Linked DNA regions of Drosophila melanogaster. The protein of the gene in region 2 purifies or fractionates together with the protein of the main gene of each other region. This does not show direct contact. Each region holds a gene or a part of one and is shown on either strand. Other genes may lie near its edges.

Region 1 (5,504 bases), on a different chromosome or scaffold from region 2:
TGCACTTATCATTGCTAAATTTGTAAATAAACGTTACGTATTCCGCTTCTTCTTTTTTCGCTGATAACAGCTGATAATGATCCAAGATCGATATGTTGCTAAATTTCGATAACTGTTTTGCTTAATGAGCTGCCATCTCTAGCGCAGAGGCGTAAACACATTTTTTGTATACAAACGGGTATTTGGTGCTAATTCTTTGTAATGGAAATAGCAGAGATATCTGCAGAAGATGAGGATGTGTTTCACTTTGAGACCGAGCACCTGGCCCTGCGTGGCAACCAGTGCTATACCAATTTGCTGCGCACTTTGGCCGTGCTGCAGGCACAAAGGATTCGGGTGCATCAGCAGATTGAGGAATTGGAAGCCACACAAAATATCTACTTGGAGAATCCGCAACATATGCTGGACAAACTGCGAAACAACGAGCCTTTGATAGCGGATAATTACATCACCACGACCGTTCTACCGGACTTGCCAACTCTGTCGCCCAATGACGAGGAAGGGGGCACAAATGAGACACCGACCGATGCGTCTTCATGGACGCAAGAGGCGAACAAGAATCGGGACAGGAGCAATGGACGGTCGGAGAATTTCAATCGCTTGTGGACCAACGAAGAGCAGAGTCGCTTGGAGCAGCTGCTCATCCAGTATCCGCCAGAGGAAGTGGAAATGCGCAGATTCGGGAAGATAGCGAAGGCCTTGGGCAACAGAACGGCACAGCAAGTGTATAGTCGTGTCCAGAAGTATTTCCAAAAGCTGCACGATGCCGGAATGCCTGTGCCCGGTCGCATACCCAAGCATCGACGTCCTGGTTTGAGTAAGCCGAAGATCAAACTTCGCAAGTCAACCTTCTTCCCCGCTCATAATATATCGCTACAAATGCCAGAGGACGATTTCACATTTGACGACCTGCGAATCCCATCGCCTGCGAGCGATATGCTCCTTATGCCGGCATCCAAGATCGAACCAAAGATCGAATCCGAGTACATGGATGCCGATCTGAATGCGGAGTCAAAGCGAAAACAGGAACTATGCCTTAAGCTTCTATCAGCCATTCAGGACGAGAAACGGGAAATGGAGGACGGATATGAGCCAGACTTGCTGGCCGCCAAGTGTGCCGAGTGCGAAGAGGCATCTGTGACCAGGACCCAATGGCGTTGTAACAGTTGTTATTGTTACCTTAATCTGTGCGGAGATTGCCTGGCCAGTCAGCTAATCGAAGGGCGTTTCGAGCATTTAAGTCATGAAGTTGTAGTGGACCAAGAGTCATGACGCTCCTAGAGTCCCATTTACTTGAGTACTAAATTACTAGACTTGCCTGTAAAGCTACAAATTAAATATAAAGAGAATAATTTTAAAAAATTCTATTTTATTTATAAAAACTTAATATTAAATGGTATAAAAGAGAGGCCCTCTTAATTGCGCAATTGGGCAGATGATTTCGGCAGAGATTGAATACGCTGGCGACGCTTTGCTTCGAACTCCGTAGCCAGCTGCCATGTTTCTTTGTCCAACGTATCCTTCCCCCGGGCGATGCCCAGCAGCCGTGAGAGGACCAGCAATCCATGCAGATCATCGGCATTACTTTTGACATTAGCTTTACGCATGTCCACGAAATCCTGCTGGATCATTTCAGTGTGCTCCTCGCTCACGTTGAAGCCGCTAGTGCGCGCTGTGGTCAAGTACTTGCGAAACTGCTGCAGACGTGATGGCTGCAGATAGTGGTGGGCTGCCTTTAGAGATTCATCAACAAGTTCCACGGCCTTAGAATCGGCATTAATGGGCAGCACAAAATCGCTCTGAAAACATATCATTAATAGTTTCTATTGGATATAATGATTATTTATATAAACTTATATTCTTACCGGCAACATACTTCGCCCTTCACTGAGCACGAGAACTGGAATATTTGCTTGGTAGTCTATTTGGTAATACTGAAAGTCGCACTTCAGTTCCTGATTATTGATCAAGTGCGCTAAATGCTGAACGGCATGAACACCATTGGCCTCCAGCTTGCCCTGTTGCATGCACGTCTCGTCGAGCACCAAATGCGTATGGGGAGCCAACTGTAGTACGCCGGAAACCAGCTTGTTTGTCTCATAATCCTTCCTGCAAGTACTCATTAATAGGTATTCAATTTTATACTATTTCTGCTTAGCCAACTTACTTTGGGGCAAAGGCTGCCGTGTTTAGTGTGACGAGAGTCATGGGCATGTAATGGCTGGCCGGCAGTAGCAGCTCCAGAATTTGATACAACTTGGTTGCATACGCCTCACAATTCTTAGGGAGATTACAAAGGTTAAGGGCGAACTTGCCGATGCTCTGCATCTCAGAACGACTGTAGACCGTAGATATTAGGTGGGAGAGCAAATACTCGGCAGCCAGATCGTCATCAAAGAGGCAGAGTTTAAGAAGCATGCGCAGATCTTTGTGCACAGCAAGGTGGGTTGGATACGTCTCCTCACATATTTCCGTTGGCTGTCGAAGGCTTTTGTCCAGCAGCGGATTGGCATGCGGCAGCACCTGGACTCCGAAGGCATGCAGGCGGGGTATAAGAAATGGCGATGGATGAGCTGCCTGCAGTTCACTCAAGTTTTCACAATCGTCTATTTCCAGGGTAGCGGCGTCTAGTGAAGCATCCACTGACAGAAAGCCCACAAAGTCGACCAGCGAGTTAAGCTGGTAGGTATCGAACTCCTCGTAAACCTTTACCATGCATGCCATGCTGGGACGATCCGGCAGAGGCGAGTTAATCAGGTAATCAGACCCAAGAACAGAGGATTTGGAGGCGCCGACTGGCTCGCTATCTTTTTGAATCTCTTTTAGGCAGGGTCGCTTGAACGTTGTTTCGCTCGCAACGTCCACATCCATGGCTTCTTCTTCGCCTACAATAGTCCGCTTCTTGGCTGAACTGGGAGATTGACCCAGACTGGCCAAATCGATCTGGGGACAGCACAGCTTCTCATGCTCCTTGCTCCAATCGTTCAGACCAGGCACAGAGACCACGAACATGGTACGCCTCTCTCCATGCACGTTTCCATCGGCGTTGTAGTCAATCACTTCGCCATTGGCTATTTTCAAGCAGTCCCTGTACTTTCCTTCCTGTACACGTTTGCTGCCGTCGGCGGATTTCACTTCGTAGCGCTCCAGATAGATTTCTGGGTCCATCATGTCCTGGATCATTCCACGAAAGCGCACCAGAGTCTGATCCTTCAGCTTGTGAAGAGGCGTGTAGTTGAGCAGGGGAATCGAGTGCCAACGACTGGGATCCTTGAGCAAGTCCTTGAGTGCAGCGCTGTCCGCTTGCTGGGCGGCCAGTTCATCGGGCGTGCTGGGCAGCTCCATCGCACAGGGCATTATCTAGTTAACGAATGAATTTGCAAATGCCTCAAAAACCTCGAATGCAAAAAACAACAGCTGCTTTGGCGCGCCAAAAACTGATTGCAGCATATTAGTGATGGTCATCGATGGGCCTATCGATATCTGCCAGGGATGTCGAACTCTGCCGCAGAACGGATGTAGAGGCGGATGTGGACATCCGCAAAAAATGTACAATTTGAGAATTACCAAAGAATTGCAGCGATGAGCAAGAAGAAAAGCAATGTGTGGCAGTACTTCTACAAGACATCCGGCACAGTGGCCACCTGTCTGCTGTGCAACAGGAACTACTCGAGGCGAGGACGCGGCACAACATGTCTGCGGAATCATCTGAAGAGCAAGCACCCACCGGAGTTCCTATCTCTATCCGGGGACATAAAGTACCTGGACCTGGTTAAGAGCGAGATCTCCATCGGTTCGCCACAGCACCCCACAGCCCAGCTAGAATTGAATCTGCACGTAAGTGGGATAGCATATAGATGTGCATACATACCTATGTACATGCATATGTACTGTGCAAGAAGTGTACCTTATGTGAAATCGGGGTACATGCCCTTCTAGATATTCTGTCATGTGGAGATGGTTTCCCCAAACTTAAGTTTCCATTCAAATATAGTTTCTTTGGTAGTTCATAAAGTAATTTATGCCTTCTCTTATTTAAAACTTTTTACTAATATAGCAACAGCGGATGCGGATTTTTATCCGCGTTTGGCTAGATCGGCAAACATGTGTTGTGTTTATAAAGTGTAGTTAAGGAGGTTTTAAAAATGTACTGTTATGGTCTTAGTATTATATTTTTATAAATTATGCGTTTTTCACTAATCTGATGCATTAAATTATTCTATTAATCATTTTAGGAAACAGATTCAGATCCATTGGACACCGAGGATATATCCTACAGCAAACGCTGTGATGAGAAGTTGGCCCTCATGCTACTAAATCACTCCTTTGAGTTCATTGAAGGACCAGGATTCGTAAATTTCATTAGGACGCTGCAGCCGCGGTACACGATTCAACCAAGGAGCTACTATGAGAAGATACTGTGCGAGGATATACAAAGGAAAATGCATCAGCATTTGAAGCAACAGGTGGATCTGCTGGATGCCATATCGTTGTCTACGAGTCTCTGGCGTGGTGACAAAGGCGAAGGACTGCTGAGCTTGTCCTGCTCCGGAATATCAAGGGATTTTCAGACTCACCGCCTAATGCTGAAATGCGAGGCTCTGAATTACGAAAGCACTTCGAAGCTAGCTTGTTGCATTCGAGATCTTGTGCCCAGCTTGGCCATTGAGGTGCCCAAAGAGAAGATACACTGCGTAATCAGGGACGAGATGACGGCGCTGCCAGGTTCCCTGCCCGATTGCAGTGTGCACCGCCTGCAGATGTGCGTTCGATTTGCTTTGCAATCGAACGAATTACTGCAGAACCTTTCATCCAAGTGCAAGCAAATAGTTGACCATTTTGCGTCGTCTAAGATGGCCAACGATCATCTGAAATTCATTCAAGAGATCCGCTTGACGCGAGACCCGTGCACACTTACACCTTACGATCCCTGTCAATGGAATTCCGCTTTTCAGATGATGAGCAGCGTGTTTCGAATGAAAGATGCTCTATCCTTGTACTGCGAAGAGTATAGTCTGGTCCAAATATATCCAGATGAATGGATAGAGATCGATTTGTGCAGCAAAGTAATGCAGCCTTGTGAAGAAACAATCAAGATATGGAGCAATCCATCTACGACCACCTCATCCGTAATCCCGCTGGTTGCCGCTTTACGGGATTCCCTCCGAACAGATGTCCATAACTTTGTCTCATCTGTGGTAAGTTGCAGTAGATAAAACCATAAAGTATTGTCTAATATTTCGAATGTCTAGACTATATGCAGTTTCGCCAGAAAGTTGCTTGAAGAACTGGAAATGAAGTTCGCCCACATCACTAGCGACATCAACTTTTTGATGGCCACATATTTGGATCCGAGATATAAGCAAGCATTTTTCACCGAACGTGAGGAGCAGTTGGTGGCCAATGAAGTTCTGCTTCAGCTCGCTGGAGTGCCAGAGGATTGCAATGGTCAGCCACCGCTGAAAATAATCAAAGTGTCATCCACATCGTCCCAGAAGAATGAA
Region 2 (6,315 bases):
TAACGTCGCCGCTGAAGGGCGACTGGAAGGGCCTGTACAGACGCTTCTTTCGATCGCCCAATTTTCGCGGCTGGTACGGTGCACGTCATCGGGAGCTGCAGCTAACGCTGCAGGATCTACAGCTGCAGGCGCTATCCGTGGCGAATCTCGAGCACTGGGCGCACGACAAGCAGGAGGTGGAGATCATCGATATGATACTCAAGCTCAAGCAAAAACTGAATCTCTATGGCGACAAAGCCACGCAGCTGGAGGGCAACAATGGCTCAACTCAGCAGCAGATACGCGCCCAGATTGAGTGCATGAAGGGCTTGCTGCCGCCGGATCTCAAGAATGTGGTGAATCTTTGATGGTAGTAGCTCAATCCTCGTCCTCCTCCTTCTCTTCTGCCACTTATCACTTTGGCTGCTCCACATCTGTCTGCTAGTATCCTGTGATTGTGTGATTGTGCCTGGCGGTGCTCTTTATCAGTGTAAATAGATTTTAATCGGCGATTAGTCGCCGTATTTGTGTCTAGTTTAATTCTAAAGTGAATCCAAGCGAAGCGATGAATGTTGTTAGTTCAAACTACAAGTCAAGTATTAAATGTAATCGATGTGTCCCTTCCATATTTTCACATCCATGCGAAAACAATGCTCATGTCTCAAAATGTCGAAAACCATGCCAATAATATCTATGTGGCTGCAGCTTGAAACCACTAACCACAACATTGCAGTCCCTTCCTCTCCAGCTTTTTACTGATTGTGAATGGGAGTTGTGAAGCCAGTTGGTTATACCTTCAGTTTGTTTCTTTTAAAACCGTTGTGCAACTTTGTGTGTATATCGCTTAAATTGTTTATGTCAAATATAAGTTAACTATAATACATTAGCCAACAGCTGCAGCCTTTCCTTATGCCAACGTACATATTCCGTGGATTGCAATGGGAGTTCCAAAGTGTTTATTTTTTTTTTTATATAAATACAAAACAAAAATGACAACTTAAGCGCTAGAATGGTTGATGGATAAAGGATGGATTGATGGATGCAATCGTTCGTTCGATTGTTGCTCCTTGGAATGCGCGATCAGATGAGAAAGACTATATCGTCGGCGACCATGATCTGATTGTCCTCGGTCATGCGATGCACGGCGGCCTCGATTTCGCCAGCGGTGAACGGCTCCTGGCTGCCAACGTTGATGGCCGTGGTGATCCTGGCCAGCGCCAAGCTCTGTTCGCGTGCCTCGCGAAACAGTCGCTGCAAATTGTTCTTGAACTCGCCCAGGCGGGCATCGCTAATGATGGCCGGCTCCGTGGTCGATGTGGCCACCGACTGCTCCTCACTGGAGGGGCTGGCCATCAGCATGGCGACCGAGCGAGCGGGCAGAGAACGACGCGTTTCGCGACGCGTCAAATCGCCAGCATCCGGCTGTGGTGGCTCAATATCCTCCTCATCGCTATCGGCACCGACGGTCGCTGTGCGTGTGCGTTTGGAGCGTCGCGATGGTGAGCGCTGGCTAGATGCCTCACCGTTGTCATCCTCCGCATCGGAGCCGCTGTTGCGACGACGCTTGCTGGGGCGATCCTTATCCAGCACCTTCTTAAAGTAGGCAAACTGTACCAGTTCGATGGCCGCATGGGCATCGTCGATGGTCACCGATTTGGACATGCGTGCCCGGGCATGGGCCGTGGACAAACGGATGAGGGTCTCCAGGGTACGGGCCGTTATTGGCTGCGTGCGTGCCACATCCGTTTCGACCGCCTCCTGGGAGCGCAGGCGCGAATACTCATTGGCAATCGCCTCGCAGGCCTGCTCGCCCAATTTGGGCTTCATACACTTGGCAATGTGTATGTACTTGCGCATGAACTCCACGGATAGGATCTTCTCGTGACGCTGACGCGACTTGCCATGCAGCAGGGCATCGTACTTTTCGTACACCTCGGTGTCCTTCTTCTGTAAAATACAATTTCAAGACCATGTCAATCGATTATACACAATCATAATCGTGCCTTTCGACGAAAACCCACCTCCTCGCTGCTGGAAACAAAGGACAAGGAGTCCGCATAGGAGCTGCCCATGGACAAGGGCTCGCCGTCGGCCTCCTTGGGATTGCGATAGCGATGCATGCGCACCACATGGTCCGAAATCATTTGATCCACATCGCTGTCAATCACGTCCAGCATAACGAAGAGCAAATCGAAACGCGAAAGCAGCGAATCCTGCAGTCCAATATTTTCCATCGGCGTCTTATATTGATCATACTGGAATTGAAGACGAAATTAGCAAGAAAAGCGATGAACAGACGGATTCGGATGGACTCTTACCCTTCCGTACACCGGATTAGCGGCTGCCAAAACGGAGCAGCGAGCATTGAGCGAGGCATGGATGCCCGCTTTGGAAATGGTAACACGACCCTGTTCCATCACCTCGTGAATGGCTGTGCGATCGATGTCGCTCATCTTGTCAAACTCATCAATGCAGACGACACCGCGATCGGCCAGGACCATGGCGCCCGCCTCCAATCGCCGCTCACCGGTCTCCTGATCCGTGGTAACCGCCGCCGTCAGACCGACGCCGCTGGATCCGCGACCCGTTGTCGGTATGGCCCTTGGTGCCGTATTCAAGACGTAGCGCAGTAGCTGCGACTTGGCCACCGAAGGATCGCCGATAAGCAAGACATTAATATCGCCACGCAGGCGTGTGCCATTCGGCAGGATCTTCTCAACGCCGCCGAGCAGCAGGCAAAGAATGGCCTGCTTCACATAGGCATGTCCATGAATCGAGGGCGCCAAACTCTTGCTGAGCAGCTCGAAGATGTCGTTATTCTTCGCTAGCTTCTTGCACAGCATGATGTCTTCGCGCGATATGTCCAAATTGCTCTCCTTGCTGAGCAGCGATATATTGTTGGCCAGCAGCACGGTGCGGAACGTGCCCGAGGTGTAGCCACCGCGTTTGCCCGGCAAACAGCGATAGCTGCCCACAATCTGTACACGATCGCCGGGCTTGCAGCGATCCACGAGATCGTCGTCGCACACAATATCCACCGAACGCGGCAATTGGCCAGCCGGCGCCTTCTCGGGCATCTCTTGAATGGTCAGCGTCTGGTGATCCTTGTAAACGGACAAACCGTATTCGGTCTCCAGCAGATTGCCATCCTCGTCCTTTGTGGGATAGGCAGCGCCAGATGGCACAGCCTCGAACGATGTGAGATCGGTGTATTTGCGCTCCATTACCTTACGCGTATTGGGGCAATAGTGAACGCTGCGCACCACCTTGGGACGAATCAGCGATACCTTGGTAACAATGCCCTCCACGCACACCATGTTGCCCAGATAGATGGAGGTGAGGGAGCGCGGCGTCACATGCCGATTGCCAAAGCAGCCCTCGAAGCCGACAAACAGATCCTCATGCATTTTGGCATAGCCCGGATCAACCGTGGACGCATACTCCTTGAGCGCCCTGCCAAAGGCCAGCTGCTCATCCGCCGCGTTGCTCAGTAGCCCCAATGCACGTTGCGGATTCTTGCGTTTTAGATCGTTGACATTCACGATCAGGCGCTTGCTCTTCTCCGCGATCATATCCTTGACGTGGCCCGCATAGATGCCCTGATCCTCCTCGTCGTCCAGAAAGTCCACATACTCGCGTTGTATGTCCTTGATGAACTGCTCCCCCTCGTGGGCCATTCTGTGACTTAAGCTGTACACTGGAGTTCACAAAACTTCTTTCGATTTCGCTTATGGATCAACTTCGATCCGTTCGGAGGCAAACGCAAATGCAAACAAAACTAATGTCGCAAATTGCACGCCGAATGCAAAGTTTTTTCGCGGGAAAAGCGTAGTGTGACCATACTGTGGGCATTTGAAGACTGGTTGCGCGGGCAAAATATATATGCTATAATTATTTCCTTTTTTTATATATTTACATATAATTATTAACTTTATTATATAAAACATAGTGGACATAGCAAACTAACTAATATAAGCAAATATACGTTGATATGCAAATTTATAATTAAAACGTTTCCACCGAACATCTGACTTAATTTGTAATGCATACAATATAGAAAACTATCAAATAATTCCTATAATAGTAGTATATATTTATTATCTGCCTAATTAATATCTACATTTAATCCATTGCTATAATAGTAAAATATATTTATTATTTGCTAAATTACTGTCCACACTTAATACATTCCTATAATATATACAATATATGTATTATGTGCCTAATTACTGTTTAAACTTAATCCATTCTTATAATAGTATTATATATTTATTATTTGCTTAATTATTATATAATATATAATATTATTACACTTAAACCATTCTTATAATAGTATAATATTTGTATTTATTATTTGCCTAATTATTATTATATTATTATTACTATATCCTATAATATATACAATATATGTATTATATGACTTATTACTGTTTACACCTAATCAATTCCTATTATAGTATTATAGTATATAGTAATATATTTATTATTTGCTTAATTACTGTCCACACTTAATCCATTCATATAATGGTATAATATTTTTATTATTTGCCTGAGTACTGTCTACACTTAATCCATTTATGATGTGGCTGCGTATTAAATAGTTTATTATTATTAAATAGTTTGTGTAAAAGAAACAGAAATTGTTTACATTTTATGATACATATATATATAGCACTTAAGTAAAATAAATTCCATTTTTATTTATTTCTATAAAATATATATATGTTTAAAATAAATTATATTTCTTGGTAGGATTTAGTTTATCATTTGACTTTGCTATACATTTCTGACCGCCCAAAGAAACCAGTTAATATTGACCACATATTACCGAAATTAGTCTTCAAATTGCTCATCACGAGTCTTCACTGCACTGCTGGTAACACAGCCATTGTCTGGACTGCCGCAACTATCGAGTGCGCACAGCTATCGATATTACGCACTGGTCACACTGTTATAACGAAAAAAAAATTCGCATATTATTCACACTTTACCGGTGTTTCTTGACAGAAAATGATAAGTTTTCGTTAACCGAATTCTCAGAAAGTAAGTGCTTGGAAAGTTTTTCCAAGAAAAAGTGCCCAATAGGGAAACCAAACCTGAAACCAAATAATTTTCCACGATAAGCGCAACAACGCGATATTAGATTGGCCAGCCCTGCGTTTGCGGTTTTTTTTTTGTTTTTTTATTTCCTGTATTTTTTTTGGGGGGGAAAAATTGCAGTTCCACGGAAAGCGAAAAGTTTTCCACCAAAATAAACGGTTGAAGCATGGACGCCGACAAGCAGGTGAGTGTCAGATTATAGCTCCAATAGGCGCCGCCCTTATGCGTATGCCCAATATATTGCAGCTGGAAAGGCAGCTGGAGAAGGAGCTGGACGAGATGCCGGCAGAGGATTTGGACGACGATGCGTATGACGAGTATGATCTGATCGTGATACCCGATCAGGGCAAGGGCTCGCCGCAGCAGGGGCACAGTGAGTCGCCGCAGCAGGAGGAGGAGCACAAGTCGGAGGAGCTGCGCCAACGATCGCGCCCAACCTGGCCACCGTCGTCCGCCGGCGGGGATATGACCACCATTGAGTTGATCTCATCGGACGACGAGCCGTCAGTGGAGGAGACTGAGGGAGGCAATGCCGCTGGCCGTGGCAGAGCGCGCAATGATTCCAGCAGCAGTAGCGATGATGTGGGCGTGATCGAAGGCTCGGAATTGGAATCGAACAGTGAGGTGTCCAGTGACAGTGACAGTGATAGCGACAACGCTGGCGGCGGAAATCAGCTAGAGCGCTCGTATCAGGAGCTGAATGCGTTGCCCAGCAAAAAGTTTGCCCAAATGGTCTCGCTCATTGGAATCGCATTGTGAGTTTGCCTGCTTCTCCCACTCCCATTTTCCATTTTTTCAATATCGGCATTAGCTAATGTTGATGCTCGTTAATGCAGCAAACTGAATGATCTGGAAAAGATCGAGTCATCGGTGCTGGAGCTGCAAAATTTGGCCACTGTGCCGGCTCACGTGTGGCTGAAGTATCTAAAGGCCCGCCTGGTCGTCACCCAAACGGACGAGGAGCGCAAGGCATTCGAGGAGCAGTGTGCCAAAGCGTTGGGCTACTACTACAGTATGCGATAGATAGAATCCATTCGTAGTTAAACCAATTGACGAGTTACATATTGCAGGCATACCGCTGTCCGAATACGTTGTCAACTACCTGGTGGATCAGGGCAACGTACAGAACCATGTGCTGTGGGCCAAACTGCTGGCGGACTACGACGTGGAGCGTCCAGACTTTGGCGACAAGCTGCGTTCGCTGATATCGACAATTACGGACGAAAATGAGGCTGC

The links. The genes of interacting proteins can lie anywhere in the genome.
Region 1: the proteins of Mcm3 (region 2) and CG3430 purify together in Drosophila melanogaster (affinity purification with mass spectrometry, with the first as the bait; one large-scale study listed by BioGRID). This does not show direct contact.

The regions. Positions count from the first base shown.
Region 1 is NT_033779.5:6,954,951-6,960,454, reverse strand, and holds CG3430 (uncharacterized protein), read right to left. Parts: upstream 3,448-5,504; 5' UTR 3,358-3,447; coding exon 2,168-3,357; intron 2,110-2,167; coding exon 1,866-2,109; intron 1,800-1,865; coding exon 1,416-1,799; 3' UTR 1,351-1,415; downstream 1-1,350. Other genes in the region: Hmgcl (3-Hydroxymethyl-3-methylglutaryl-CoA lyase), read right to left, coding at 1-12; Atac1 (Ada2a-containing complex component 1), read left to right, coding at 202-1,272; CG13775 (uncharacterized protein), read left to right, coding at 3,583-3,837, 4,236-5,198, 5,253-5,504. UniProt on the Drosophila melanogaster protein: Associated component of the MCM complex that acts as a regulator of DNA replication. Binds to the MCM complex during late S phase and may act by promoting the disassembly of the MCM complex from chromatin.
Region 2 is NC_004354.4:5,321,338-5,327,652, reverse strand, and holds Mcm3 (minichromosome maintenance 3), read right to left. Parts: upstream 3,799-6,315; 5' UTR 3,657-3,798; coding exon 2,298-3,656; intron 2,235-2,297; coding exon 2,001-2,234; intron 1,927-2,000; coding exon 1,060-1,926; 3' UTR 915-1,059; downstream 1-914. Other genes in the region: CG3309 (uncharacterized protein), read left to right, coding at 1-347; Rnp4F (RNA-binding protein 4F), read left to right, coding at 5,246-5,263, 5,326-5,834, 5,916-6,091, 6,150-6,315. UniProt on the Drosophila melanogaster protein: Acts as a component of the Mcm2-7 complex (Mcm complex) (Mcm complex) which is the putative replicative helicase essential for 'once per cell cycle' DNA replication initiation and elongation in eukaryotic cells.